Linked DNA regions of Lepisosteus oculatus. Each later gene encodes a partner of the first gene's protein in a complex. Links are inferred from orthologs where the notes say so. Each region holds a gene or a part of one and is shown in the gene's direction. Other genes may lie near its edges.

Region 1 (15,056 bases):
ACGCTTTTATTTTTTCATCATGATGTATCGCCTCACGGCTCCAGACAACGGGAGTGTGGTTGTAGCTTGTAGATCCATGGGAGAAAAGATGAGGAGACCCTGGCTACAGCAGTAAAACCACTGAAATAAGAAATATGTGGAGTGCTGTTTAGTAAGTAGTGTTATGTAGGAACTACGTAGGATGTGTTGTTCCTTGGAAAACTTTTAAACTAACGCACTTAAACTACTTCAAGCATTACAGGTTGAAATCACAGGTGAAGATGTGTTATAGGAGCCCTGTGCCCTCTTCCTCCTGTCTGCCTGAGTTTGTCACTGAAGGCTTGTGTTATGTCTGTGTGTAGCCCAGGGATGTGACGAATTTCACCGTGGGGGGGTTTGCGCCCATGAGCCCCCGGATCAGCAGCCCCATGCACCCGGGAGGAGGGGGTGAGTACGGACTCCATACCGCCACCTGCTGACCTCACACGGACACTGCACCCAGATCTCAAGGGCCTTTGCCATTGCAAGCTTTTCTTTCACCTGACATGCGTCCAGCTACCATAAACAGAATCGAAAGCAGGCTAACGGATGTGATTGGCTGTCGCTGAGGGTCAAGGCTCTCCCGTGACCCCACAAGTGATTGCTGAGAGCAGTGCAGTGTCCTCACTCTCCTGCAGGAGGAGCAGGCGTTGTCACAGGAGCTGTCTGCTCATGTGCCACGTCATCCCCATCCCCTCGTGATGAGTCATCCCCACTTTCGCTTGACATCGATCCATCACGTCGAGACGCGTTACAGATTAGTGGAGTTACTTTGCGCCTCGATTTCCTGCAGTCACTGTGATTTAAATCCTCATCGTGTGATTCGCAGGTCAGCAGCAGAGGGGTGGGCATGGCGGAGGCATGGGGCGTGGCCGAGGCCGGCGGGACAACGATCTGATTGGACAGACAGTCCGTATCTCACAGGGACCTTACAAAGGTAAGCAGAGCCTGTACTGTATAGAATTAGGGAGACTACAGTCAGGCCCTTCAAGGACACAAGCTGGTTCTGAACAAGAGTGTTGAACTGTAAGACTAACAAGCCACAGTGGAAACGCATGTACCCAGAAAATCTACACACCCTTTCCAAAGTAACATTTTGTGGCCTAACAGCCTGAAATAAAGACACAAATCAGAATTTTATCTGACCTTTAATTTACACGTTGTAACACCCAACCGTAAGGTGAAAAATAAGTGTGTAGACTTTCTGTAAGCACTCTATATGTGGAGTCTTATCTGTAGAGGTCTCAACATGCTAAATATTTTGCGTTGTGATTCCCCTCATTAATAAGGGCATGATATTTGCCCACAGGCCTCCTATCTTGCAGGATCTCAAGGACCTATGAATTCTCAGGGTTATGTCATTTGTTGTCTTTGCCAACATTATACTTGTCAGTAGTGGTGCCCAGTGTTCTAATTTAATTTTGTACATGAGGAATAGGCAGTGATTGCCAGGACCATGATTTTATGGTGTAAACCTGGAAAAAACACTCATTCTGCCACATCTGCCAGTGATTACATTGGGTTGTAGTGCTCCTGGCTTAACTGCAAAGAATTGTATAAATATTTTGATCCTTAGTTAAGATGTCTGGGAAACATCAGACCAGTAGAAGTTCATAAAAATATTCTGTTCAGTTAAAAACCACTTCTCTTCCGTTTCACAGCAATATTTTATACTTTATTTTTCTGAAACACTGTTAAAAATGCTCTTCTAACTTTTACTGTGAATACCATACACTTAAATACATCCTCTGTTCTTGACCCTGAATGAATAAAAGACTTTGTTGTGCAAACTCTCTGTGGCTGCCTGGCAGTGGCTCTCCTGTCGGGGGGTCGCAGGTCTCTTGTGGGCCAGACAATTTGAGCTCTCGCTCCTTTTTCCCAGGGTACATTGGAGTAGTAAAAGACGCCACAGAATCGACGGCTCGTGTGGAGCTGCATTCCACTTGTCAGACCATCTCCGTGGATCGGCAGCGTCTGACCACTGTGTAAGTGCCTTTGGAATGAGAGGCAGTGTGAAGGGGGGGGCGTCTGTCCAGTGGTTAGGGTACAGGGCTTGTGAAGGGGGCCTGTCGGTCCAGTGGTTAGGGTACAGGGCTTGTGAAGGGGGGGGCGTCTGTCCAGTGGTTAGGGTACAGGGCTTGTGAAGGGGGGCCTGTCGGTCCAGTGGTTAGGGTACAGGGCTTGTGAAGGGGGGCCTGTCGGTCCAGTGGTTAGGGTACAGGGCTTGTGAAGGGGGGCTGTCGGTCCAGTGGTTAGGGTACAGGGCTTGTGAAGGGGGGCTGTCGGTCCAGTGGTTAGGGTACAGGGGTTGTGAAGGGGGGCTGTCGGTCCAGTGGTTAGGGTACAGGGCTTGTGAAGGGGGGCTGTCGGTCCAGTGGTTAGGGTACAGGGGTTGTGAAGGGGGGCGTCGGTCCAGTGGTTATGGGTACAGGGGTTGCTATCATAAGGTTCCCAGTTGAAGCTCCGGGTCTTCCTCAGACCAGGCATTACAGTCAGTTACTGAGTCTCTGTGTGTGGATGGAATGTCAGACTGAAGTGCTCTTGTCAGTGACTGGGCTGATGCCGTATTTCATTCTGTAATCTCTTTGGATGAAACCCTCAGCTACATGAGCAAAATATGAGTTCAGCTGTTATTACTTTAATCTGCTCTGCCAGGGGTTAGTTAATCAACATCTGACCACACTGGAGTGGATGAGAGGAACCAGCTTTTAACAGTTCGAGCAGCGCGCGAACAACGTTTTCTCTCGTTGTGTGGTCTGTTGGGAAACGCAGGAAAACGGATTTTCCCTGCACATCCCTCTTCCTCCTCAGGAGTAGTTTGCCAGAATAATTTCAGAGGAAAGAGAAACAGATGTTCTTTTGAACTTTGGGCAAAAAAAGAGGGGGAGTCGGCAGGGTGGTGTGCGTTGGGGCGCGTCTCCCCACTTGAATTCTGGTTCTCCACTGCAGCTGACTAGAACTGAAAGACCTGTCACCTGACTGTTTACTGCACCGCCCAAACACGGCCTGCCTGCCGCTCTGTCTCACCCTTTTGTGTGGACATTTGTGAGGTTTTTTTTGTCTGACCTTTGACTTGTCTGTTTTGGGGGGATTCACAGGGGAGCAAGGAGGCATGGAGGAATGACTTCCACACATGGGCGCACCCCCATGTACGGCTCCCAGACCCCCATGTACGGGACAGGCTCCCGAACCCCCATGTACGGGTCTCAGACGCCGCTGCACGACGGTAAGACCTCACCCGATCCCGATCCCATCACTCGATCCCGATCCTGATCCCGATCCCAGCCTTCTCTTGCTCTCCTGAGCGTTGGGGTTACAGCACACTGTCCAAGGGACTTGGTAATGATCCAGTCTTGAGCGCTCACAAAACTTGATCTTTCTGTTTCATGAAAAACATAGCATCTCCTCTTTCTCCAGATCTGGGTTCCACACTTTTTGTAGGCTCATGGATCAGGATCTGATTGGACTCTTTTGCCTTTGCCTTTAATACTGCAGCTGGGAACCGCACCCCCCACTATGGCTCACAGACCCCGCTGCATGATGGGAGCAGGACCCCAGGACAGAGCGGAGCTTGGGACCCCAACAATCCCAACACTCCCTCAAGGTAAGGCGCGCCCCCCCCCCTTCTCCCCCAGGGGCTGGCTGTCGTAGTTCAGTCTGATCACACGCCATGGGGTCCCTGGTCTCACCCCGTTTTCTCTTCACAGGGCTGACGAGGACTACGAGTTCGGATACGACGACGAGCCCTCTCCTTCTCCGCAGGGTTATGGGGGCACACCCAATCCGCAGACGCCTGGTTACCCTGAGGTGCCCTCTCCTCAGGTCAACCCCCAGTACAACCCACAAACACCGGGCACCCCTGCCATGTGAGTGACAACACCCCAATCCACCCATGGGCGCTCACTGCTCGCTGCCAGGGCACAGGGGCCTGCAGGGGTCCTGACGTTGCCAGCTTGTACCCACTGTTCCGCAGAATTCGGCACACAGCATGGGTCTTCATACCCGAGTAATCTCCACATCCTGAATTTGTTATCCTGAAGTATGAGGATACACAATGGGAATGCATGTGTGTTCTGTTTAGCATCAGTTCTGATTTTAGAAGAGCAGCTAGGTTAGCTGACAGGAGCGCTGTTGTTCCGTGGACAGGCCAGTGAGGGTATTGGAAGGTCCGCCCGCTTGCTGGCAGTGTGGTCGAAGGCAGCCTATCTGCCGGAGCAGTCTCCTGGAGATTGAGATGTTATCCCTCAATCCCTTCTGAGTCAGCACACTAGTCCAGGAAAGGAGGTGCAAGCCAAGGCGTTGAAAGAGTGTGTGGGTGAAGTCGTGGGTCGATCTGTCGGTGCTGTCCCACTCCTCTGACAGGCCTGACGCTGGACAGGCCGCAGTGAGCGCTGCGCTCATGTTCAAGCCAGCTGGAGGAGCTCGTGGAGACATGATGACATGGGAGCGAAGGACAAAGCTCTTGAGCCAACAGTTGATTTTTTTCTTGCAAGTCCGTCCAGTGTTGCTTTTCCTCCAGAACAATGCACAACCATCGGGTGCTACGATTACAATAGAAGGCTGCTGTGGAAAACGGTGAGGGGGTTTTGACTGGAACAGGTCTCCTGTCAGACCACCGGGGTCATGTTTTGTCTTGAAAGTGCGTGATGAGCGTGGTGTCTCAGCGGGGTGTTCTCCTGATATGCTAGTAACTCCACCAGCACAAACAGAAAAACGCTGCATCGGTATATCGAGAGCACTGTATGACGCACGTCGTGTTAACTACTTCCCTTGTCCTTGTTCCGCAGGTACAACACAGACCAATACTCCCCCTATGCTGCGCCCTCTCCGCAGGGCTCCTATCAGCCCAGTCCCAGCCCACAGAGCTACCACCAGGTGGCGCCCAGTCCTGTGGGTTACCAGAACACACACTCTCCTGCCAGCTACCACCCCACCCCTTCGCCCATGGCGTACCAGGTAACATCTTCCTCTTCCTCACTGTGAAAGATTACAGCTCGTCTCTCCACAGTACTGTTACCACATCGCCAGCCATGTCCCTACACTTCCCTGAGCATCAGTGGGTGCTTTCCTCAGTGTACTGTGGATGATATGTGGAATAACATCAGGAACCCATCCCTCCCTATAGGGGGGGTGTGAGCCAACACACTGTTGGTGTATAATTTTCTGTATCGTGAAAAGTTCTAGTGACTTCAAACCTATCTTCAAACTTCCGTGATGGCTGCAGTTAAGAAACAAGGAGACCAAAAAATAAAGCTGATAAAAGAAATTGATCAAGTCAGGTTTTGCGAGGTGAAATACTTGTGGTTGAAACACTGAGCTTGATTAACTGATTTTATTAGATTTTTTGGGTGATTGCTTAAAATATCTAAAATATTTTTTTGCATTTAAATTAAATCCAGTAAACTGTATTTACATATTAATCTCTGAAAGGTGTTGTAGAGAGATGAATTTAAACTGCCGATATCTACCATGCTGACTGTTTGGGTCCCCCTCCCAGGCCAGTCCGAGCCCCAGCCCGGTAGGCTACAGTCCCATGACCCCAGGAGCGCCCTCTCCTGGTGGGTATAACCCCCACACCCCTGGCTCCAGCATCGACCAGACGTCCTGCGACTGGGTCACCACTGACATCCTCGTGCGTGTCCGGGACTCCTTCCTGGACACCCAGGTGGTCAACCAGACCGGCGTGATCCGCAGTGTGACGGTGAGTGACCGCAGCCCTGCCGCTGGGGAGGTTCAGAGACTCTTAAACTCTCTGACCTTGACGCCCCACTGTGTTGGAGTCGTCTGACCGGAGTTTTTCCGACCTGGCTGCCTGAGGGTTGTTGCTGTGTGGATGGTTCTGCGGTGCGCTCGTACTTTCCTGTGCACGGCGTGGTGCTCCTCCCCGTGAGCCGTCCTAATCTGTCACACTTGCACACGCTTAGTTGTTGCCTCCTCCGAGCGGATGTCTCATGGGGGATCCCCCCAGGTCCACGGGGGAGCTGGGGGTGGCGTCTCTGGTCTGCTGTCCAGTCAATGGGCTCTGCGTGTCTTGTGTCCCACAGGGCGGGATGTGTTCCGTGTACCTGCAGGACACTGAGAAGGTGGTCAGCATCTCCAGCGAGCACCTGGAACCCGTGACGCCCACCAAGAACAACAAGGTATTGTCGGCTCCTGCCTGGAGCAGCTGTACCTGCCAGTGACGCTAAATCACTGTGCGGAGTGAGGCTTCCTGTCCTGACACTCACTGCTTTTAAAGCATGAAAAAAATAAAATGTGTCTCCTCTTTGTTCAGTACTTCGTTTGGGACACGGCAAGGTTTTCTAAAAGCCTTACCCTATAGTGCCCCCATGTGTTTTGGAAGGAGAAGTACACCCCCACATGCAATGTCAGTGTCTGCAGTAACAGGTTTTAATTGTAGCTGACATCTGTTTAATGGGTAACAGTGTTTGTCTGTGGATTCTGTGGGATTCAGCTCTTGTTGGACCCACTTCATGGCTGGACTCGGCTGGAGATCGGCTTTCCAGGGTGAATGTGAAATGTCTCTGTGTTGCTCAAGTCCCTGGTTAGAAGGATTGAATAACCTGAGGCCCTTTCAGGGTTCAGTCACACTGGGCCTGGAGAGGCACTGGGTCTCATTTTCCTGCCAGGCCAGATGAATGGAGGGCTGCAGGATCAGAGCTCTCCGGCGCCGGTGTTAGAGCCAGTTCGCACGTCCCCACCTCCAGCTGTGGCCAACGACGTGAGCTGTGTGTGTCCCCCTGCAGGTGAAAGTGATCCTGGGAGAGGACCGGGAGGCCACAGGCGTCCTGCTGAGCATTGATGGAGAGGACGGGATTGTGAGGATGGAGCTGGATGAGCAGCTCAAGATCCTCAATCTGCGCTTCTTGGGCAAACTGGAGGTGTGACCCATCCCTCCCAGCTTGAGCTCCGCGCATCCATCCCACTGAAGTTAGAGGAATGTAAAAAAACCATGCTTTTCCGTGGCGTAGCGTTACTTTTTGTACTTTCTTCGTCCTCCTGCTGTGGTGAGGCTGTGCGTATGTCACCTTTTTGAAGAGATGGAGAGTAATTCCGAGTAATTCCTAATTTGAGGAGAAGATTTTTTTTTCCTTTTTTTTTTAAACCTGCTGGAGACAGATTTTGGAGTGGCACGCTGCTCTGATTGTGCAGTGTGGAACTTAGGACTTATTTTCTGCTTTGTTTTTGTTTGTTTTTTTAGGCCATGAAATTCCACAATAAAAACGGCAATGGAGAAGATGTTGGGCTGAGTGGCTTGTTTTCACTCTCAAATTTAAAAAGTGTGCATCTTTGATGTTGTGTGTTCTTCACTGTGATCGTACCTTTGAGTGTTTTCAGTGCTTCTCTCTTGTTGCAGCAGGTTTCACCAGTTCCTGGCCCACTGCTCCCTGCTAAACAGTTACATATATGGGCAACAGATGAATTATCATTTCTTTTTAATCACCTTCTACATACAGTATTATTGTAGTATAATTATTTCAGACAATTACCAGGTAAATCTGTTGCAATTTACCTTATTAACAAGCAGTTAATTTATTACCTTGATGGTTGGATATGGTCATGCACAATTTTAATGCCGATTTAGTCACAGGCGTTTTTAAAGACATGCAGTGCATAAGGAATTGTCCAGACTCCCAACATACCTGTTCAGGCAATCGAACAGGAAAAGCACACTGGGCAAGAGTGGAGTGGTGGCTCTGTGGCTCAGGATCTGCACCTGTGGCTGGAAGGTTGCTGGTTCAAATCCCGTGGCCGGCAGAGGAATCCTACTTTCTTGGGAACCTGAGCAAGGCCCTTAACCCCAACTGCTCCAGGGGTGCCGTATAAATGGCTGACCCTGCGCTCTGACCCCAAGCTTCTCTCCCTGTCTCATGGAGAGCAAGCTGGGGTATGCAAAAGACAAATTCCTAATACAAGATAAAGTAAATAAAGCCAAGATAAAGCCAATAAAGTGATCTTATCAAAACGCAAAAGCAATCGCAGTGTTGCTGATCTGGGCCCCGTCTCTCCGGAAACCCGTCATTATAAACCTGGCACGGAGTTCTCGGACCTGCAGGGATCACTCGGTGACGTACCGCCCGGGACAGTGCTGGAAACTCGCCTCACGCCGCTGACCCCGTGACCCCCCTTCAGACACCAGACTAACCGTCCCGCAGGCGGGGGCGATCTCACACAGCGTTTGGTTCTCAGTTCATCTGGGGGGGGTCTGCAAAGCAGAACGAGGATCCAGTAGTAACCACAGCACAAAAAGAGATGAGAAAAGAGAGGCTGGCAGGTCCACAGTACATTTAACCACCTAAGCTGTAATTAAGCTGTAAGAAGATTCTGGATGTGTGCAGCAACACTCGGAGATCCTCTTCCACTCTCCTTTGAATGTTCTGCAACTGCAAACAATATCCCGGTGGAAGGTATCGGAAAAAAAGAATTACTCTGTTTCTGAAAATGTCTTTGAAATTCCAGACTTCTTCAAAAACAAGAGTAGTTGTTTTTTTACCGATAGACGTCTGGAAATGTCAAATCTCTTGAAAAGACCGGCGGTGTTGAAAGATGCCTTGTATCAGCTGCACCTTGGAGATGCAGTGTCTGATTGGATTTAAAATAGGTCAGTCGCAGCCAACAGTAATCCAAAAACTGCAGACTCGTAGGGGTTAGATATATTGAGATTTTTACGTGAGAAAATGTTTTCACAAACCTAACGTACTAAGAATCAAATTTGAAGTATAAGAATCCATCAAGTTATTGTTTTAATTTCTCTACTTGAAAACAAACGTTTTAAATTTTGATTTACGAGGTCAATGGCTATTAACGTAGAATCAGACCTCGCTCCAGCGAATTCGCCTTGTAAGAAGATTAATAGACTCGTTGACGTCACTCTACGTCTTTGGGGCGTGTGCCCTCACAGAGCATGGCCGCTTTGGCGCTTCTCGCGAAGGTCAGCGATTCCTACTTTTTGATTGGGCGCAACCTTTCGAGACACACCTTCAAAGGCGGGTCCTTCATCGTTCAATTTCCTATTGGGGCGTGCCCTTGTCAATCAAATCCCCCCCGTCCAATCACCACAATTTGTCCTTTACACTCGCGTCATTGCGACCGGTTGTGCTCCATTCAAGATGTCGGCGGGGTATGTATACAACGTGTGTGTCCGGACGAGCCGGGGCCTCTTGCGACTGGGACCCGGGATCAGAGCCGGTCCAGGAGCTGCGGTACCTGCCGGGATCCGGGCGATGCACTCTGACCGGCCGGCCGGCAGAGAGGACAGCGGTACCGGTGGGCTGGCTCAGGCCATCCTGCAGGACCGACTCCAGCAGCAGCAGCTCAAGAGCCAGGTCTGTGCACAGCCGCGGTTCTGTCTGTCTGTCTGGTTTCCACCTGTTGGAGGGAAAGACACGGTATACTGCAGGCGAGTACAGGCGAAATTTACACTTTTGTCAAGTCCATAGGAAGACGTATCTCTACATGTCGGCCTGCGATGGTGGTAAGTGGGTTCGCTGCTTTTGAAGCGAGTCAGCTGCCTGTCAGTGTCGGTGCTGCCACTGCCCCGCAGGTCAGATGTTCCCCAAGAATTTTCTTAATAATAATAATGATGATGATGATAATAGTGACGCGACGCTTTGGAACTGAGCTGTTACAGCGAGGCCGTCGTGGGCGACGTAACCTTGTCCGGGGAAAGACACCTTTTACCTTGAAAGAGCTGCTCTTTTAAATGACCGTTGCCGTTCATTTAGGTATATTCAAGAATATATCTAAATCTCCGTTTTGAAACCGAACTGGGTTTTTAAATCTTGCAAAGAAGGCAAGTCTGTTGTTGTTGTTTTTTTTTACTCCAAACGGGTGTGTCTCGATCACAGAGAGTAAACGCGTTGATGGTAAGCTAACGCGAATCGCCTGTTAGCGGGACAGGGGGGTCACGTCTAGTTTCCAGCGTCGGTGTAGTGAGTGAAGCCTGAGTTTTTTGCTCTGATGTGGTTTCCTGTTGTGACTGGTGGCTGGTGAGGTCGGGTAGATGGACTGCTAGTAGTAACCTTCCCGGCTCGTTCTCCCCTGGCGTCACTGTAGACTTTCGTAATGAAACACATGTCACGCTGTAGACGCATGTGCAACAATCCCCAAGTGGCTGAGGCTCACAAACTTCCTTACTGGTTAAAACTTAAAGAACAGTTACAAGCAGGAGGAGGCCGTTTGGCCCTTAAGCCTGGGTGCCGGCTTTGGCAATGTGACTGGGTACTTGTTCCAGACCCCTGCCGCCCTTTGTGTAAAGAAGTGCGTCCAGCTCTCGGCTGTGAGGGCGGTTTGCTGTCTTGCCGCGCTGGTGAGGGCATGGCTGGGCGCGAGATATCAGTGCAGAGCTCTGACTCCCCTGTGTGGGTGTTTTCAGGGGGAGCCGGCCGGCGACGCAGAGGGGCAGGGGCAGCAGGGGCAGCAGGACCGGGGCGATGAGAGGAAGCAGAAGGAGAACACGGCCTACGCCAAGAAGATCGTGCTGAGGCTGGCCGGCGTGCTGGCGCTGGGCGGCTCCGTCGGCGTGGTGTACCTCTTCGGTGAGTGGACCGCTCAGGGCGGGGCCGTCTGCCCACCCAAAGCCCTGCCCTCAAGCAGCTTGGATCCTTTGGGATTCCTGTCCGCTGGTATTGACAAGCCAGGACTTGGGCCTGGAGTCCCCACCTGGAGCAGCACTAGACCTGAGGGCCAGAGAGTGACTGGCGGGGGGCGGCTGAGGGGACCCACACTGGCCCCTGAGAGCTCCAGTTTCGTGGGATTCATGGGTCACTCCTTAAATCAGGGGACCCCCAACTCTGGTGCAAGGGAAAGTTTTATTTTAACCTCTGGAGCAGGTGATTGGTTTCATAAAGTAGTTTAGCTACCATCTGAAAGGAAAATGCCGAAAGCCTGTAGCTCCTTGGGTTTCACGCCTAAATCGAACCCGTTCCTTGACTGAGCTGGTGCCAACTCCCTTGTGGTCCGAGTCTTGACAGCCTGCTGATCGAAGAGCGGTCTGTAAGGCCTGGATCGGATCGGAACGGGACGACCCCGGGGCTAGAGGTGGTCTTTTTCTTATCTGTCAGTGTCCTGCCCCAGAGCAGCGAGAGCAGCTCTTTATTCCCAGGGATCCATCTGGGGCAGCTGGTGATCTTTCCAGACATTGATTCTGCAAATAATCAGAAGAAATATTTAGCTCAAGATCTGCTCCCTCCGGTTCCTGATGGGTGAAACTTTTTTTCTCTTTCTCCTGCAGGCAGCAGTTCTATGGATGAACAAGGGAACAAGGTACAGTCTGTTTCCTCTACAGGGCCGGAATGGGTAATATTCAGCTTCTAGCAGCTCAGAGAAGCAGGTCACTACAGGCTGGGGGGAATAAGAGTTTTCTTCAGTACTGGCACTCTGTTTTCAAGGGGATCTGCAAGGCTGTTTTTACACCTTGGTGTTATAGTGATAAGTGCATTTCAAACCACAATGAAACTACCAAATACACAGAAACGTACAACCTGCAATTTCAATCACCAAAGAGACAAAATTTCAACATATCTGCAGCTCCATATTAATTAATTAATTGCTTACACTTATATAGCGCTTTTCTGGACACTCCACTCAAAGCGCTTTACAGGTAATGGGGATCCCCTCCACCACCACCAGTGTGCAGCCCCACCTGGATGATGCACCAGTCCGCTCCCCACACACCAGCTCTCAGTGGGGAGGAGAACAGAGTGATGAAATCAGTTGAGAGAGGGGGATTATTAGGAGGCCATGATTGGTGAGGGCCAAGGGGAAATTTGCCCAGGACAGCGGGGTTACACCCCTACTCTTTTCAAGAAATGCCTGGGATTTTAATACAAAAGCAGGCCTATTGCACTGTGAACATGCTTCAGACCAAGTCAGTTTTGCTACCATAGTAATAGTAAAAATTCTGATGAATCTGACACGTACAAGGCAACACATTTTTAGGTGCTTTTAAGTTTTGCTTAAACGGTGGCGAGGCGCTTTGCGACAACATGGCAACCATACAGTCCTTTCACAAAGCCCATGTTTTTACACTTCATTCAGAATCTGTCAACTGTTGCGATACTGTAAATGAGTTTATTTTGTTGCCAAGGTTTAATTACCGGTCTGAGAAATTGGGACTGCAGTTCCCCTTTAAAACAGTAATTCAGTAGTTTGCTAGAAGATCTTCTCAACTTCAAGCAAAGGCGAATGCAAGTTCAGGGCTGTAGACTAACAAGTGTGCTTTTATGCAGTTACTAAACTGGGTGGTTTATTTCAAATGCAGACTTCCAGTAAGCAGGGGTGATCGGTGAAGTCTGTCAGGTGCCAAATTGAGTTTGTCACTTTCTTGGGGACCGTATGATAACCATATGGGTAAACTTTCTGTTACCTAAAACAGACATCACCGGATCCGAGATGTGGATTTCTGTAAAAGTTATTGTTCATTCTCATGCACATTTCGCACAGCTGTACCAATATGAATCAGTGCCATACATATGTGCAAATACTGGTCACATTTAATGTGATGGAAAAGAAATGTTATGTTCCACATTTCCGAGTAGCATGACTCCTGAGAGGGTTGTTCTAGAAAATCAGATTTAGAGTGTGGCCTTTAACTGCCGAATTCCTGATATGCAAGCTCAGTGCTTCTCAGTCCTGGTCCTGGAGTCCTCCTGTCTGCTGCTTCTGTGGAGAACTGGGGGTATTTCCTGCCGGTTGGTCTTGTCTGGTAACGTGATCCAGGCTGCATTGTGAGTGAGGAGTGGGGGTCCACTTCAAAGAGCACACTTCTGGCCCAGGTGTGAACCTGGAGTGTGCTGGGAGCTCACTTCAAAGAGCACACTTCTGCTGCAGGTGTGAACCTGGAGTGTGCTGGGAGTCCACTTCAAAGAGTGCACTTCTGGCCCAGGTGTGAACCTGGAGTGTGCTGGGAGTCCACTTCAAAGAGCGCACTTCTGGCCCAGGTGTGAACCTGGAGTGTGCTGGGAGCTCACTTCAAAGAGCGCACTGCTGGCCCAGGTGTGAACCTGGAGTGTGCTGGGAGCTCACTTCAAAGAGCACACTTCTGGCCCAGGTGTGAACCTGGAGTGTGCTGGGAGCTCACTTCAAAGAGCACACTTCTGGCCCAGGTGTGAACCTGGAGTGTGCTGGGAGTCCACTTCAAAGAGAGCACTTCTGGCCCAGGTGCGAGTGTGGGTGTGGCGTGGAGAGTGCTGGTGTGTTGAGGAGGAGGTGAGTGGTTGCTCACGTGAGCTCAGGGGTGTGCAGACGCTCGGTCTTGGCTGGGGAGATGGGGTGTGCCGTCATTCACTGCAAGAGAGCTTGCAGTTTTGGTGTGTAAACACTTGAGGAGAACAGTAGGTGCAGGGTAGTGTACTTGGTGTAGCTCTGTGCATCCTGCGGTGAACGTGTCCAGCCCAGAGCCGTGCTCTAGTGTTGTTGAGGCCTGGGTGCTGTGACAGTCCCGTCCTCTGGAACGATCGGGGCGCACTGCCCCCCCCCACCGCACCTGGATGACAGCCCTGTGCCCGGAGGTGTGCCGGTTTCCCGTGGGAACTGGAGTGGCCCCAGCCTCCCTCTCTGCAGCTTGGTGCGAGGCTGTTAAGTGGGCTGGCAGGTTCCTGGACACCCCCTTCACATACAGGCGTCAATGCCTGTGATGCTGCTGCTAAATACCTGTTGGCACTCGGATCTGTGAGCTCACGCCCCCCGAGGCAGGCTGGGGAGAGCCCTGGAGCCGCAGCGGAGGAGCTCTCGGCCTGCTTCTGTCCGATTCTCTGAAAAACATCCGGTTATCCCGGCTTCTTTTAAAAAGGAAGTTCTTCCGTGAATTACATGAACTATCTTGAGTCGCTTTTAAGTATGGCAATGCATTCTCGGGTTTTTTTAAAACTTTTTATTTGATGATGGAAGGATTTACAGGTAGAACATATAAAGCACAGCTAAACACACTTAAAGTAATCTACTGCGTTTGTCTTTCATTTTACAATTATATTTTGTGTTTTATGTCATTACCTATTTATATGAAGTTAATGTAAACAGGAGGTTATGAGTGGAAATGCAGTCGGCAAAAACATAACCAGCTATCAACACAAAACAATGACTTCATCCTCTTCACAGAGCAGAACCGGGTCTCAATGGGCCCACAAACTCAATCCAGGTGTGCTGGTATTGGCTAAACCTCTCGCCTATAACCCAAGAGTGATGGTGATCTTTTCCATGATGTAAAATTCCTTTACAAAACTGATCCACTGTTGAGATGCTGGGGTTCATTCTCTTGTGGTTTTTTAACTGTCTGCTAAAATAATCTTCCTTTTACTTTCTGAGATTATTTTGAAGGCACTATGTGAAATGAAGCCTTCCAGAATCGGTTTGATGGAACATTTGACCCTTTTCTGGCTTCTAAGTAAATCTTGGACAGGATTAGAGTGTTGCCTTTTTAGATAATTATTTGTTTGGCTAGTAGATCACTAAAAAATAAAGACTTATTCTGTTTAATTCCAATACACCTCCGATCCAGCTCTTAAAACGTTTCGATTTAAGGTTAATCGTTTTCCACAACGCGGTGTAATGTTGTAGGTGACCACCAGAGGTCAGTGTTCTTGTTGAGGTGAAGGAGGCTCAGTGGGAGACGGGCGGCTGTCAACCGTAAAAAGCGTGTTTGTGATATTAGGTGCAGTAAAGGGAGAAGCCAAAACTTTAATATCAAAAACTAAAAATACTTATGGTAACAGATACTGACTTGCTGCATTTTTTATTGCTCAGATTGCACAGTTTGGGCATTGCAATGCGTTTTATTTTCTATGGAAGAAGTTTTCACCTTATTTGCGCAAATTACTAATTGGCCCCTTTGAGCTTATAATTGACAGCTTTGATTCTGTGGGTGCGTGCGTTGCCTTTGGGAACTGCAGGCAAGGCCTCTGAGATACCAAGAGGTCCGCCTGACAGACAGCTGCGCTGCTCAGTAGTAACCACAAGAGGGCGTCTTGTTGACGTCTAAAATCTAAATTATGAGCAAGTAAAGGTTTATTCCATGCTGGAAAGACAAGAAAAAAGAACAA
Region 2 (14,855 bases), on another chromosome or scaffold:
CAGAACTGGAGCGGGGCTACGGGTGATGTAGACACTGTAGAAAAACAAATTCTCCCTCCTGCTGCAGGGAGTCTGGGTGACAGACTGAGCAGCTGTGTACAGGAGAGGACCCAGTGTCTTAACCTAGATGCAAGTACTGCCCACGGGAAGGGTACAGGATCTGGGATCAGAACCGAGCCTCCTTACTCATGTGTTGTTTTACACCTTCTCTTCAGACTGCAGGTGACCCTCTAGGAATGCAGAAGATATTATTATAGAAAAGATCAGTCTGCAGTTCGTTTTCAGTAAAAGAGGCTCTGTTAATATATTTATATATTACTGGTTGAAGAAATGGATTTTGCAGCTCCTGAGTATCCAATGTTTTAAAATAAAAAGTGTAATGTTTTAAACTTTTTAATTTGGACTTGTCCAATACTTTTTTTTTTTTACTCCTTAATTTCAAATGGCCACATAGAATTACCAATCTATTTTTTCAGTAGATAATGGAAACACTTATCTTGTGTATTTTACTGTAACCCTGTGTTCAAAGTGTTGTCTTCTGTGCGTGAGATGTGCTCATTACACACCTTGAGATGAGAGCTTTGCTGTTAAACGTTAGGAGAGCTTCTCCCTTTTCTGAAACGCACAAATTAAAGACACTGAGCATAAAAAATGTATAATTTAATCACGTGGCCAATCAATGTCTCATTTAGTGGCTATGCATATAGACACTGGCTATATCAGTCATGAATAATCATTTAATTAATAGGACACCAAAAATATTTAATCCGTATCCAAAATCTGAATACTTTATTTTTCTACAAAACAAACATAAATAAGCGATGTGTCTTCTGAAGTGTATATTCAACACACCTAACTCAGAGATTTGATCATTCTTTAAAAATTATCAAAATAGAAAAGAATATACAGCAAACAGTACAGGGTTTGTATCTTAAGCCGAGCCAATTGCATCCAAGTATAATTTGCGGATCACATTAAATTGCTAGTCACACATTTTAAGATGATACACGCATTTGGTTAGGGGGTGTTTAGCGTAAATCCTAGATTACCAGCCTGCTAACCAAGGGTGTCTCCTGGGACACAGATTCCCAGATCCTGCTTCTCATTTCTTCTTCCTAAATGAATCTTGCTCTAAGCAGGACTCATGTAGGGTGCAGACAGGATTCAGCTGCCCCCTTGATGAAGGTCCAGGGCCCAGCGGGGAGCCCCTCACACAGACGCAGACAAACCCGAGAGCATGCAGAGTACCCCACCGGGACACTCGCTCCTGACGGGCTGTGTGGCAAAGCTCTCCTGCAGGCAGGCAGGCTCCTGGATGCAGGGAGGCTCTGAAGGGGAGCTTTACCAGAGGCACCGTCCCGATTATCATCTTTGTTGTTACGACGGTATGGATGGGGTATTTTCAAAAACACACCAACGAGAAAACGGTGGACAGAATGACCAGCGGAGAGCCTGCATTCTGCAGAGCAGTGACAGCTGATCCAACGCTGTGTGGAATTAGTTCAGTTAACCAATAAAAAACCAGGAAGCAGAAACCCGGGCAGACGCACTCCCCGCGGGGTTGTCGCGGTGCAGGGCAGCTCACTCCTTGGCCCGGGTGGCCTCGGCGCAGGGCAGCTCACTCCTTGGCCCGGGTGGCCTCGGCGTTGGCGCGGAGCACGGCGCCCGGGCTGGGGTACGGCCTCTGCTGGAACAGGGGGCCGGCGGCCGTGGTGTCGGCCCCCGTCTTCGCCTCGTTCCGCTTGGGCAGGCCGGTCGACCACGTGCCCCTGCAGGAGAGAGACGGGGGGAGGTCCTGGTGAACGGGCAGTGAGGGAGGTACAGAGGGGGGTCCTGGTGAACGGGCAGTGAGGGAGGTACAGAGGGGGGTCCTGGTGAACGGGCAGTGAGGGAGGTGCAGGGGGGGAGGTCCTGGTGAACGGGCAGTGAGGGAGGTACAGAGGGGGGTCCTGGTGAACGGGCAGTGAGGGAGGTGCAGGGGGGGGTCCTGGTGAACGGGCAGTGAGGGAGGTGCAGGGGGGGGTCCTGGTGAACGGGCAGTGAGGGAGGTGCAGGGGGGGGTCCTGGTGAACGGGCAGTGAGGGAGGTGCAGGGGGGGGTCCTGGTGAACGGGCAGTGAGGGAGGTACAGGGGGGGGTCCTGGTGAATGGGCAGTGAGGGAGGTACAGAGGGGGAGTCCTGGTGAACGGGCAGTGAGGGAGGTGCAGGGGGGGAGAGAGGGGGAGGTCCTGGTGAATGGGCAGTGAGGGAGGTGCAGGGGGAGGAGGGAGGCGGGGTCACTCACCTGGGGGCATCTGAGTAAGCACTGGGGTCCATGGGATCCATCTCCTCGTCCTTCCGCTCTCTCCCTGCAGACACAGGAGAAACATCCTCTCAGATACAGTGGGAGGTGGGAGAGCTCCCCATTCCCACTCAACAGGTGCAGCTCTGGACTGTTACTCTCCACACTCCACACTCTCCCCACTGCCTGTGTGTCCGTACCTCTCTTCAACTTGCTGTAGGGGGCGATGTCCTCCCTGCGGTGCTGCCTCTTCTCTCTAACCTCCTCCCATTCCACCCTCTCCTCGACCTCTGCAGGGAACAACAGAACAGGATTTGGAGACATAGCGAGAGGCACCTGGCTCTCCACAGCCCCACCCTCCAGCCCAGGCCCCGCCCCTGGGGCCATGAGTGACACCTGGCTCTCCACAGCCCCACCCTCCAGCCCAGGCCCCACCCCTAGGGCCATGAGTGACACCTGGCTCTCCAGAGCCCCACCCTCCAGCCCAGGCCCCGCCCCTAGGGCCATGAGTGACACCTGGCTCTCCACAGCCCCGCCCTCCAGCCCAAGCCCCGCCCCTAGGGCCATGAGTGACACCTGGCTCTCCACAGCCCCGCCCTCCAGCCCAAGCCCCGCCCCTGGGGCCATGAGTGACACCTGGCTCTCCACAGCCCCACCCTCCAGCCCAAGCCCTGCCCCTGGGACCATGAGAGACAGCTGTCTCTCCACAGCCCCGCCCTCCAGCCCAAGCCCCGCCCCTGGAGCCATGAGAGACTGCTGGCTCTCCACAGCCCCGCCCTCCAGCCCAAGCCCCGCCCCTGGGGACATGAGAGACTGCTGGCTCTCCACAGCCTCGCCCTCCAGCAGGGGGCGACCCACTGGCGCTCCAGGCCAGCACCCGATCGATTCCTTTCACAGCTCTGCTGGTTAGTGGACACTAGCGAGGAAAAGAAGCCACACTGTAAAGAGTAAAGCACGACAGCAAACCCAACCCCCTCCCCCGGCGCGTGTGCGATGGGAGAGCAGGCCTGCGACTTGCTGTCTGACTGTAGCTCTGCGGCGGTACCTTTGAGCTTCTTGGCCGCTTTGGAGATGACGGCATTGGGGTCGTTGGGGGACAGCCAGGACACCAGGTCAGTTTCCACATTCCAGTAATACGGCAGACCGCTGCGGGGCGGCAGAGAAAGCGTTTCAAGAGATAATTACTACTGCTTGGGCTGACGCTCTTATCCAAGGTGGCCCACATGTGTACCCATGAGTCTTTGACCAGAGCAGTGTGGGTGAAGAGCCTTGCTCAAGGGCACAGCAGCCTGGGATTTGAACCCAGGACCCCGCCCCCGAACCCCAGGCTGAAGGCCCGACAGCGGAGGAAGAGAGGGAAGCAGAGGACTCTGGGAAGGACCGAGAGGCAGTAAGAGATGGAGACTGCTGGCTGGGGCAGGCAATTCCACTCCCTCCGGTTTTCACCCCAGGCCGGAACGTCCTTGCTTTACTGACTGAACTAAGTATTTGGCCTGTTTTGTTTTCCTTCAGTTTGCCGATTAAAAGAGCCTCTAAATCCCACAGGAGCCCAGATCCTCGAGGACTGGGATCGCGTATCCCCGCTGCGGGGGGTCCGGAAGAGAGAAGGTGACGGAGAAGAGGTTTCTACATCAGAAGGGATGTTGTGTTTTTACGTCTAGCCAGCCCAATCCGCAGCTGGGCTGGGCGAGGGCGGTGAACTGGTGACGAGGGGCGGACTCCTCACCAGGCAGGGTCGAACACCTTGTACCAGCTGGGCGGCAGGTTCTCCACGCGGGTGGCCTCGTAATCCACGTTGTTGTCGTCGTAGTCCTCGGCGATGATCTCCTCCTCGGCCTCTGGAGGGAAGACGACAGAGGACCGTGAGAAAGCAGGGAAACACCTGGCCGCACACCTGTCCACCTGGAATGTCAGCTCCTAGACAGCGCGCTTGTCCCGGCAGCATGTTCTTGGAGTGGGCTCGCCTACACAGGCTCTGCTTTCAATCTTTAATGATTAAAATATTAGCATCTGATAATTATACATCCGTGCCTGGACTAGCCAGTAGCACTGTAAAGCAGACTGTGCTGTATCGTACAAAGAACTGTGTGCTGGGCTGCGCTTTACTGTATAGCCATGTTCATATTCAGATATGCGATAAGATCCAAAATTTGCAGCGCTGTGTTAATATCCAGGCTGGGCTGGGCTGTGTTAATATCCAGGCTGGGCTGGGCTGGGCTGTGTTGGGCTGCGCTGGTCTGTGCTGTGTTGTATTGTGTTAATATCAATGCTGGGCTGGGCTGTGTTGTGTTAATATCCAGGCAGGCTGGGCTGCGCCAGGCTGTGTTAATATCTAGGTTGGGTTGTGTTGTGTTAATATCTAGGCTGGGCTGTGTTGGGTTGTGTTAATATCCAGGCAGGTTGTGCTGCGCTGGGCTGTGTTGGGTTTTGTTCATATCCAGACAGGTTGTGCTGCGCTGGGCTGTGTTGTATTAATATCCAGGCTGGGCTGGGAGACTCACCATGCTCCGTCTGTTTAAGAATTCCTCTCTTGGCCAGACGAGCCAGTAAGGCAGGAGGGAGGGGCATCCTTGATCCTGGGACATACAGGACACAATCAGCACACAGCACTGTACCGTATAATACTGTACCTAGAACTACACAGCCCTGTACTGTATAATACTGTACCCAGAACTACACAGTCCTGTACTGTATAATACTGTACCAAGAGAACTACACAGCCCTGTACCGTATAATACTGTACTGAGAGAACTACACAGCCCTGTACCGTATAATACTGTATTGAGAGAACTACACAGCCCTGTACTGTATAATACTGTATTGAGAGAACTACACAGCACTGCACTATATAATACTGTACTGAGAGAACACAGCCCTGTACCGTATAATACTGTATTGAGAGAACTACACAGCACTGCACTATATAATACTGTACCGAGAGAACTACACAGCCCCGTACCGTATAATACTGTACTGAGAGAACTACAGCACTGCACTATATAATACTGTACTGAGAGAACTACACAGCCCTGTACTGTATAATACTGTACTGAGAGAACTACACAGCCCTGTACTGTATAATACTGTACCGAGAACTACACAGCCCTGTACTGTATAATACTGTACCGAGAACTACACAGCCCTGTACCGTATAATACTGTATTGAGAGAACTACAGCACTGCACTATATAATACTGTACCGAGAGAACTACACAGCCCTGTACTGTATAATACTGTACCGAGAGAACTACACAGCCCTGTACTGTATAATACTGTACCGAGAGAACTACACAGCACTGCACTATATAACACTGTACTGAGAGAACTACAGTCTGCACACAGCACTGTACACCTCTACACAGAGAGAAAGACACTGTGCGAAGGAGCTGCCTAATTTCATCAAGGGTTACTCTGCTATAAGGCCTCAGAGGTGGTTTTCCCACTTTGAACACTGAAAGCACTTCTGCATCGTGTGCACAGAGAGCGGGTCGTGGGAGAGTGACTGCACAGCCATATTGCCGGACCCCAGCGCCGCGGCTCTTTCCGAGAGGCGGCTGGAGCGGTTAGCTGCTAGCCCCTGGAAGAGCTACAGGAGACGACCGCGTCCGCCCGTCACCTATATGGCGCGTCTGTCTAACAATCTGGATGTGCCGCTCACGACAGCAGCCTGCTTACCTTTGAGTACCGCGCACAAACCAGTCAGGCGGACCAGCGACACCACCTCTGAATCTCCAACCCCCTTTTTATCTCAAATATACAGCACACCTCCGTTTTCCGACTCGCGGTGCCCTCTTATCCAACACATGCGCTTCTAACCCGCACTGATGTTCACACAGGCTTGATTTTAATAATGTAATCTCCAATTTCTCGCCGCAAATTAAGACACCGGCCACAGGCAAGCGACGACAATGTCGCGTAAGTGACGTGTCACACAGACGCGCGCGCATACGCATTCACGTGACGAACGTTCAGTCGCCAAGGTGATAAAAAGGCACGAGAAGATTACGTCATTGAGGTTGTGTAGTCGGATCGCCATCTTAGTGGAGTGCAGAGAATACTTGATAGCATAACGAGTCTTTTCTTGAAAACCGTTTAAATCTTAAGCCATCAGCTGGTGTAATAAGGTTAAAACATTTTCTGATAAACTTTCTGTTATTAAAGGAACAAATAACAGGTTTATTCCATGCTGAAAAGAGAAGAGAGAAAACAACGTTTCGGCTGTGAAGCCTTCTGCAGATGTTAGTGATATTTGGTTTCTTGTGCTCATTATCTGCATTTACATCATATAAAGCATATTGATAGATGTCCACTCAAACAGATCAACCACCTGTCATATTAACGACAGGTTCGTGCAGTCTCCTCGCATTGCTGCTATTGCATAGTGGGCTGTATCCGTTTTATAGATTTTGATGTGTCTACTAAATAACACAAAGACAAGTTGTATATATAATGCATTCACCGCTACAGTGGTACATTAATATTGTACATGTTTTATATCCCAGCTCCTGAAATTCAGTTTATAAAATTTCTACAGACCCATATTGTTTCCTATGGAGCGTCTAGAACATTGCGCTGCGATTTCTACTTGCCTAACGAGGACTGAATTTCAAGCTCTACTAATATGGCCGCCTGCTGCGCATACAACTGAGCCAGACGTGGAAACGTTCTATATTTTCAACAATGAGGGGCTGTGCACTCCTGTCACATGACACGTGCTTTCTTCGCTTGCCCTTGCCGGCTTCGTACGTCATCAGCCCCCAGTGTTGTGTTTGTGTGGTTAAGATGGAGGAGTACGCTCGAGAGCCCTGGTAATGTACAGCCCAGTGGAGAGCTAGCTTTTAAAATGCTGCAGGAGATAATAAAAACGTTTTTAGCTTCGTGTTTTATGACCTTTTTAATACCGAGTCTATTTGGCTTTTAGCCACACGAAATGTTTGTTTTTACTCATGTCAAGTTGAGCTTGTTTAGTTATGTAACTGAACGATAGTCCTAATCTATATAATACCGATTTGGCTGCTTGGAAATATCAGGTCAAATCTCAAATAAACTTCAGTATTCTTCACGCAGGTTGTTTAAAAAATCGTTGACGTATTACGTGTTTCACGACCTTTTGTGAACAGTAATAGTTGCTGCGTTTCAAATGTTTTCCTTACAGTTTCTCTTCGACCTGTAGTATCAGGGTTTCGTCTGTGTTTTGAATACGCGGATAGGCTGTATACGTTATTGATCTTAATTTTATTAACAATTGTGCGGTGCGTACGTTTGCAAAACACAGTGCAGGATTGACAGTAGTGTATTTCAGTGTGATTTGCTTTTGGTTATTTTTAAACACTTCGCTGATGTGTTCTTACTGTAAAATATGTTGATTTTGTCGGTTGTGGTTTTCTGTGATTGACTAGTATTCCTTCCAGGATTTGTGTGTGTGTCCTGTGTTGGACTGGTGTCCTGTCCGGGGTGGGTGTGTCTCCTGTGAGGGACTGGTGTCCTGTCCGGGGTGTGTGTGTCTCCTGTGAGGGACTGGTGTCCTGTCCAGGGTGTAGTGTAGCCGAGCCCTATAGTTCTGGAATAGGCTCTGAGTTTCCATGGCCCCTACTAGGATTACGAGACTTTGGGATACTGGTTGGATGGGTTGTTAATAGCTCTTTTTTATTTCTCCCCATATTTCTCTCATCCTTTTCTTTCCTCCATCTCTTAATCTGTCCTTCGACTCTGCCCTTCTCCCTCTCCATCTCCCTCTCCCTGCCCTTCTCCCTCTCGTTCCCCTGCCCTCCCTCTCTTTCCGATCTCCCTTTTCCTTCCCAACGTTCCTCCTCTTCTCCCCTGGCCTTCCACTCCCTGTCCCTCTTCTTCCCTGTAACACTCCCTGATCCCCCCTCCGCCCCCTCTGTCTCCCTCTGCAGTCCGTGGAGGATAGTGGATGACTGTGGGGGGGCATTCACGATGGGGGCAATAGGAGGGGGCATCTTTCAGGCCGTCAAAGGCTTCCGCAACGCCCCTGTGGTGAGTAGAGGAAGACTCTCACCTGCTCTGCACGGTGGAGCTCATTTAACTGTTTAACAGCTGCTCCAGGAAAGAGCTTCAATTTAACTGTCTTCGGTTGTCAGGTAGGATTGCCGTTAACTCTCCAGGACCACAGCAGCCTGTTCTGGCTTTTCTCTGAGCGCTGCTGTTCATACTGCGTGCCAGTCCTTGTCCAGCACCTCAGCAGATAACCGCTGGGCGAGGAGAAAGTGCTGTACGAGCACTGCACTGCAGTCAGAGCTTCCACTGTTCTTGCGGTGCATATACACAGTGTTTCTGAGATCAAGGCCACGGGGGACTCCCAGTACGGTACCGTGTGGTCTTGTCTCTGAGGGGAAACCGCAGCTAACAGAGAGGCGTTTCTCTGTGCAGGGCATGCGACACAGGCTGAGGGGCAGCGCCAAAGCCGTCAGAATCCGGGCGCCCCAAATCGGAGGTGAGTGTCACCCCTCAGTCTGCTTTACGCAGCTGCGGTTAGGCTGTTTCTGGTTTCTGGTTTTTATAACACACTGTTATATGCAGAGATCTGGCACACTAAGAGCTGCAACACAGAGACACGATAAACACGCGCTGTCAACATTTGTGATGTATGCACCTTAAATTTCTAAATTCCTATTCATTAACTCAATATATTAATAAAAACCAAGCACGACAGTGCCCGTGTGTGTGTGACCATTGTGTATTGAGTAGCCTATCAAGATAGCTGGTGCTGTTTTGCAGACTTTAAAGACAGGACGTTTCTCACATCACTATGTCTCTACTATGGCCTGTAGTAACATAACTGTCCACAAGGGGTCCTCAGACCACAAGTTGTGAGCTGGTGCATTCAGGACTTTAGATCATGGGGTTTCAGGTCTGTATAGTACTGTATTTAATATTAATTGATTTGTAAATTACAAGGTGAGATGTTCACCTTCAGATACCAGAATATCCTGGTAAGATATTCAGTTTTTTTCTAGATTTTGTGCACAATTGTATAAAGTACGTACTTTTCAGGTCACGCACAGTGTAATACACAGTATTAAAGTTACGCTATGGTACAAAAAGTAGGCCATTCTCACACAAGTCTATAATACAACACAACGCAAAACATTATACAAAAAAGCGAAACAAATCACGATAAAGACAGTTCAAACAAATGAGATGCATTTTTGCAGTATAGCGAAGCAGGTTTATTGTGCTGTCTCTTTGCATGTGTGAAGCATGACAGAGCATATCAAACTCCAGTCTATCAGTGCACCTTTGCCCCCAGTTAAGGAAGACGTGCAGACTCCCCCGCCAGTGTCTGCTGTTGGCTTGCAATACGCTAGCCCCCTGTGAAACTTGAAGGTTTCCTGTGACCTGCTCAGTGAGCCGCTCCGGGGTGACGCCCTGCGGTGTGTGTGTGTGTGTGTGTGTCTTGCCAGGCAGCTTCGCGGTGTGGGGCGGGCTCTTCTCCACGATCGACTGCAGCCTGGTGAAGCTGCGGGGCAAGGAGGACCCCTGGAACTCCATCACCAGCGGCGCCATGACGGGGGCCGTGCTGGCCGCACGCAGTGAGTGACCGCGCCGCCGCGCCAGCAGCACGGGGACACCAGGCACCAGGCACCAGGCACCAGTCAGCCAGCTCGCCGGGAAAAGCAGTCGGCTAGCTCGCCGGGAAAAGCAGTCGGCTAGCTCGCCGGGAAAAGCAGTCGGCTAGCTCGCCGGGAAAAGCAGTCGGCTAGCTCGCCGGGAAAAGCAGTCGGCTAGCTCGCCGGGAAAGGCAGTCGGCTAGCTCGCCGGGAAAGGCAGTCGGCTAGCTCGCCGGGAAAGGCAGTCGGCTAGCTCGCCGGGAAAGGCAGTCGGCTAGCTCGCCGGGAAAGGCAGTCGGCTAGCTCGCCGGGAAAGGCAGTCGGCTAGCTCGCCGGGAAAGGCAGTCGGCTAGCTCGCCGGGAAAGGCAGTCGGCTAGCTCGCCGGGAAAGGCAGTCGGCTAGCTCGCCGGGAAAGGCAGTCGGCTAGCTCGCCGGGAAAGGCAGTCGGCTAGCTCGCCGGGAAAGGCAGTCGGCTAGCTCGCCGGGAAAGGCAGTCGGCTAGCTCGCCGGGAAAGGCAGTCGGCTAGCTCGCCGGGAAAAGCAGTCGGCTAGCTCGCCGGGAAAAGCAGTCGGCTAGCTCGCCGGGAAAAGCAGTCGGCTAGCTCGCCGGGAAAAGCAGTCGGCTAGCTCGCCGGGAAGACACTCCCCGGAACAACTAGTCAACTAGCTCACCATAAAATGCAAAAAAACAGTGCAGCTGGTAAACTAGGTCACCTTAAAACATTCACCAGGAAAATTAGTAAATTAGCTCGCCATAAAACACTCAGCAGGAAAAACAAGTTAACTAGGTTTGAGATCTTTTAAGTCCTTAGGTTCTTGAGCAGAATGTGCTCCAGAGGTCGAATCAGTGGCCAGTTAACCAGACACGTCTGTCTGTTTCATAAGGGGACGAGTTTCAGATCCACCCTGTCCCGCAGCCCGGTCACTATGCAGTGAGCCCCTGTGCCAGGCAGCAAGGCTGACATCTTTTTGTGTTTGTGTGTGTGTGTGTCCTCTCTCAGGCGGCCCGCTGGCCATGGTGGGCTCAGCCATGATGGGAGGGGTCCTTCTGGCTCTGATTGAGGGCTTCGGCATCCTGCTCACCAGATACACCGCCCAGCAGTTCCAGAACCGTGAGTACCCCCCCCCTGCCCAACTCCGCCTGCTCGCTCGCTCGCATCGAGAGTTTCCTGCTCGTCGTGGGAGAGCCGGTGCCATCTCACGCTCGGCGCTTGCCTGTGTGTCTCTCCTGCAGCGAGCCCGTTCGTCGAAGACCCAAGCCAGCTTCCCCCGAAGGACCCGAGCCAGCAGCAGGGGTACCGCGGGTTTGGACAGTACCAGTAGGGCCGAGAACCGGACCTTGGGCAGCAGGCACTCTCACTGTGACCCGGGTAGACAGACCAACAGGAGGAGAGAGGGAGAGACAGACGGCCAGGAAGCTGCTCTGGGACACTGGCAGGGCCTTCCCCCAGAGCACGCTGGGAGATTCCCTTTACAGGCCTGAAACAGTGTCGCACGCAGGGAGGGAATTTAGACTTGGAGCAGAACAAATCAGATTCGGATCGATCCCCGCTCTCTGAGAAACAAAAGACAAACTGTCAGGCTTCGCATCTCCATCGCTTAGATTCTGCGTTTCTATGCCTTTTGGATAAACTGCAAGTTGAAGAGGCCTGTCAGAGGGCCTGGAAAAGCTCGTTTTGGACTCTGGGAGTAAGAAAAATAACCGGAGCAGAACTCGATCCCGTTTGCACGCCCGGAGTTCGCTCTTCTGAGCGTGAACGCACCACTCGCGCGTAGCGAGAGTGCGCTGGCGTTTCGCCCGGCTGGCGCTGTTCCTACGCAGCGCTTGTGCCCCGCCGCAGCCCGCCGCAGCCCGTGAAGCGGTCCGGTCTGGTCCTGCACCGTGAGTCACGGGCCGTGAGGGGGCAGGACCAGCCGAACAAGCGGTCGGAGTGCGGTTGGTGCTGCAGGCCCGGGCCTGGAGGTTGAGCAGCCCTGCTTTTCAGCCTGCAGCCCACAGGTCCAGGTGCGTCGAACCCAGGACAGTCATTAATATCTACATATGTATGAAGAAGCACGTGTTAAATTGGTGCTACTGGGGGTTAATGAGAACCCCATACTGAAAGCGCAGTTCCTACTGTCAGTACTGCAACTCAGGGGTCATGTCAGATTTGGGACTGTTGATCCTGCTTTATTTTTCATACCTGCATGCACTTGTCCCAGCAGGCTGTACTGTCTCGCTCCTGATGGGCTGTTCTGAAAGTCTGTGCTCTCTCTCCTGATAGGTTTTCCCCACAGTCTGTGCTCTGTCTCCTGTCGATCTGTCCTGAGAGTCTCTGCTCTCTCTTTCTTCATGATCTGTCCCGACAGGCTCTGCTCTCTCTCTCTCTCTCTCGACAGGCTGTGCTCTCTCCCTCTCCCTCTCCCGATCCCGATCCCGACGGGCTGTCCCGACAGGCTCTGCTCTCTCTCTTTCTCTCTCTCTCTCCTGACGGGCTCTGCTCTCTCTCTCCCGACAGGCTGTGCTCTCTCTCTCCTGACGGGCTGTCCCAACAGGCTATGCTGTGTTCTCTCTCTGTCCTCCAGCTCTGCTGTTTACAGCCCACAGTGGACACAACACCAGTCACAAAGTGGCTGTGCCTCTGTGGCAGGAGGAGCAGTAGGGCTCTTTAACTGACAACCTTGAGACAGTAGCACTAACACATATGCAGCAGCAGAGGCTGTTTAAGCAGACAGTTTGGGAAACGGGATGAAAAATGGCATTTTTGCAGAATAAACAAAAATTGCAAATAGTTCACATGGGGTTTCAGGGGGATTTTTTTACCTTGTGGCGAAGTGATTCACAGCCCCATCTGCATCCTGGCACTGAGCTGCCTAGCAGGGAACTGATAAGGGTGGCGTTGACAGGCAGGCCCCTCGAGGCCCTGCGCTCCAGCTGAAACACTCGACACCCGCGTCATAGACAGGGACACGTCTGTCACTGCCTTCCCCACAGCTCCACAGAGAGGAGACGGTTTTTTATTTTTGCCTCTGCCGTGCAGCACCACGCGTACGAAGCTAGGCCGAGTGAGCCACCTCACGGTTGCAAGTGCTGGTCGGTGTTTTTTACAGGGATCAAAAGCCGTGTGTAAGCTAAGACCCGCCAGCAGGTGGAGCTGTAAGCCCCGATCTGCTTCCCTGGAGAGGACGGTGAGGATGGCGTTGCCCGGCCTGGTCCTCAGGAGCGCCTGGGTCTCTTCGTTTTCCGTTTTGAACCCAGCCCTTCAGCGGAGGGTCGAGACGGGAGACTGGAGGGGAAGTTCACATGGTGCATTTCTGAGGCACCACAGAGCTGGGGGTATCCTGGAGCACAGCTGGCCGTCTGGGACCTGCAGTTCACAGAGTCGGTGCTGTTTGTCCCCAATTTCCTGTCCCCTCCTTTATCCCCAAGGCTAGCGTGTAGCTCAGTTATAGGTGAGACAGGCGTGGAAAGGGAAACGGCGTTGATTTCACAGGACTGTGCTGCATTATGAAGCCTCCATTTTGAAAAGAATGTAATAGCTGCACTGAAAAGAGAGAGCATGACGTTTTGATTGATTAATCAATCAACTAAATACAGTTACAGCACTTGCAAGAAAGGACGTCCAGCATTGATGTTTTTTAAGCTCATTTCAATTAGCCGTTTATTGAAAATGCTGTTCTTAGACCATCATTTGTCACTATAGAGACTTGTAGTGCTTTTTAATTATACTGTTTAAGTGTTACTGCAAGGAGCCTCATTTTTATTTATAGTTGGCATTGAGCAGTGACAATTGATACTACAATGTGATGCTAATTTGTCGATGTAATGTCTTCGGCTTGTATCAAGACGGTGAGGGGGATCGTGGAATAAATATCACGTTATGATGTGGGATTGTGCATTCTTAAGCCAACCCAATATGTATTTTTTGTACTGCTCCCCAAAAATGGTATGAATCGTGCACCCTCAATTTAAATTCAGCACTGTTCTGTCGTACACCACCCCCCTCTCTCCCTCCTCATCTCCACCTTCTGTCTCTTGTAAAAAAGTGTTTGCATAAAAGGCGTTAGGGGGTTTGTAAACTTGTGTTTTTGTTTTTAGGGCTTAAAAATGGAAGCATAAAGACAATTCTTGTAGTTTTCTGAACAGATTTTATTTATAACGCTGAAAAAAGTTTTTAAATTTTTAAATAAAGTATTTTGTGGTTGAATCATACCGATGTTGCCTCACCGGTTGAAAAACATTTTGTTGGGGGGGACGTCTTTGTCAGCATCAGCAAACTGTTTCCACAGGGCTAATCTCAGGGTCTTGTACTACAAATGTCACCCCTGTTGTCCCATGAACAGCTGTAGAAGTAAAGCCTGGAGGCCTGTGCCCACTGTTGACAGCATTGTCATCGTCCGTCAGCAAAGCTGTGCTTTTCTGTTTCAGTGGGGGCCCGGCCCAGCCCAGTCCCGAGGCCCAGGATAAGTCTGATGTGTTAAGACCTCCTGTGTCACTTGACCTGCCTGATCTTTCATCATGCCAGTTCAGCAGGGAAGGAGTCTCTGGCGTGGAGTTCACCCTCTGACCCCCCGGCTGTCTTCCATAGTCCTCCCGAGAGCCCCGTCGCGTCTCCCAGATGATTTGTGCCAACATAACAGCCACCTTTGTTTCATATAGCGTCTTTCACGGCACTGTACAGGAAAACAACAGTGAGAGCTACACACGTCCAAGCACGTAAATTAAACAGAATGAAAAGCCGCGGTCTGTGAGTGATTTTGAGACGGGTTTTGAAAGTGCGGACTGACCGGGAGATCACTCCACAGTCCTGGAGCGACAGAACAGGAAGCCTGGTGTCGCAGGGTCTCCCAGGGTCCAGAGCCTCGTACTGGGAACTGAAAATGGAAAGCCTGTTGTCCCAGGGTCTCCACAGTCTCCCAGGGTCCGGAGCCTCATACTGGGAACTGAAAACGGGAAGCCTGGTGTCCCAGTTGCAGACGCCTTTGCTTTCTCTGTTCTTCGTGCTGCAGGAGCCTCGGG

The links.
Region 2: timm50 (region 1) and timm17b share a complex: the UniProt entries of both Homo sapiens proteins name them as parts of the TIM23 complex. The link is inferred for Lepisosteus oculatus from reciprocal best matches to the Homo sapiens genes TIMM50 and TIMM17B.

What each region holds. Positions count from the first base shown.
Region 1 is NC_090698.1:2,304,099-2,319,154, forward strand, and holds the start of timm50 (mitochondrial import inner membrane translocase subunit TIM50), read left to right. Parts: upstream 1-9,077; 5' UTR 9,078-9,128; coding exon 9,129-9,344; intron 9,345-10,393; coding exon 10,394-10,556; intron 10,557-11,251; coding exon 11,252-11,283; intron 11,284-15,056. Other genes in the region: supt5h (transcription elongation factor SPT5), read left to right, coding at 342-426, 848-955, 1,901-2,003, 3,117-3,244, 3,514-3,622, 3,726-3,884, 4,806-4,974, 5,516-5,719 and 2 more. UniProt on the Homo sapiens protein: Essential component of the TIM23 complex, a complex that mediates the translocation of transit peptide-containing proteins across the mitochondrial inner membrane. Has some phosphatase activity in vitro; however such activity may not be relevant in vivo.
Region 2 is NC_090697.1:75,082,175-75,097,029, forward strand, and holds timm17b (mitochondrial import inner membrane translocase subunit Tim17-B), read left to right. Parts: upstream 1-7,006; 5' UTR 7,007-7,063; coding exon 7,064-7,089; intron 7,090-8,181; coding exon 8,182-8,281; intron 8,282-8,674; coding exon 8,675-8,738; intron 8,739-9,708; coding exon 9,709-9,837; intron 9,838-10,857; coding exon 10,858-10,968; intron 10,969-11,090; coding exon 11,091-11,179; 3' UTR 11,180-14,048; downstream 14,049-14,855. Other genes in the region: pqbp1 (polyglutamine-binding protein 1), read right to left, coding at 1,619-1,769, 2,285-2,348, 2,482-2,571, 3,327-3,427, 4,008-4,119, 4,783-4,849. UniProt on the Homo sapiens protein: Essential component of the TIM23 complex, a complex that mediates the translocation of transit peptide-containing proteins across the mitochondrial inner membrane.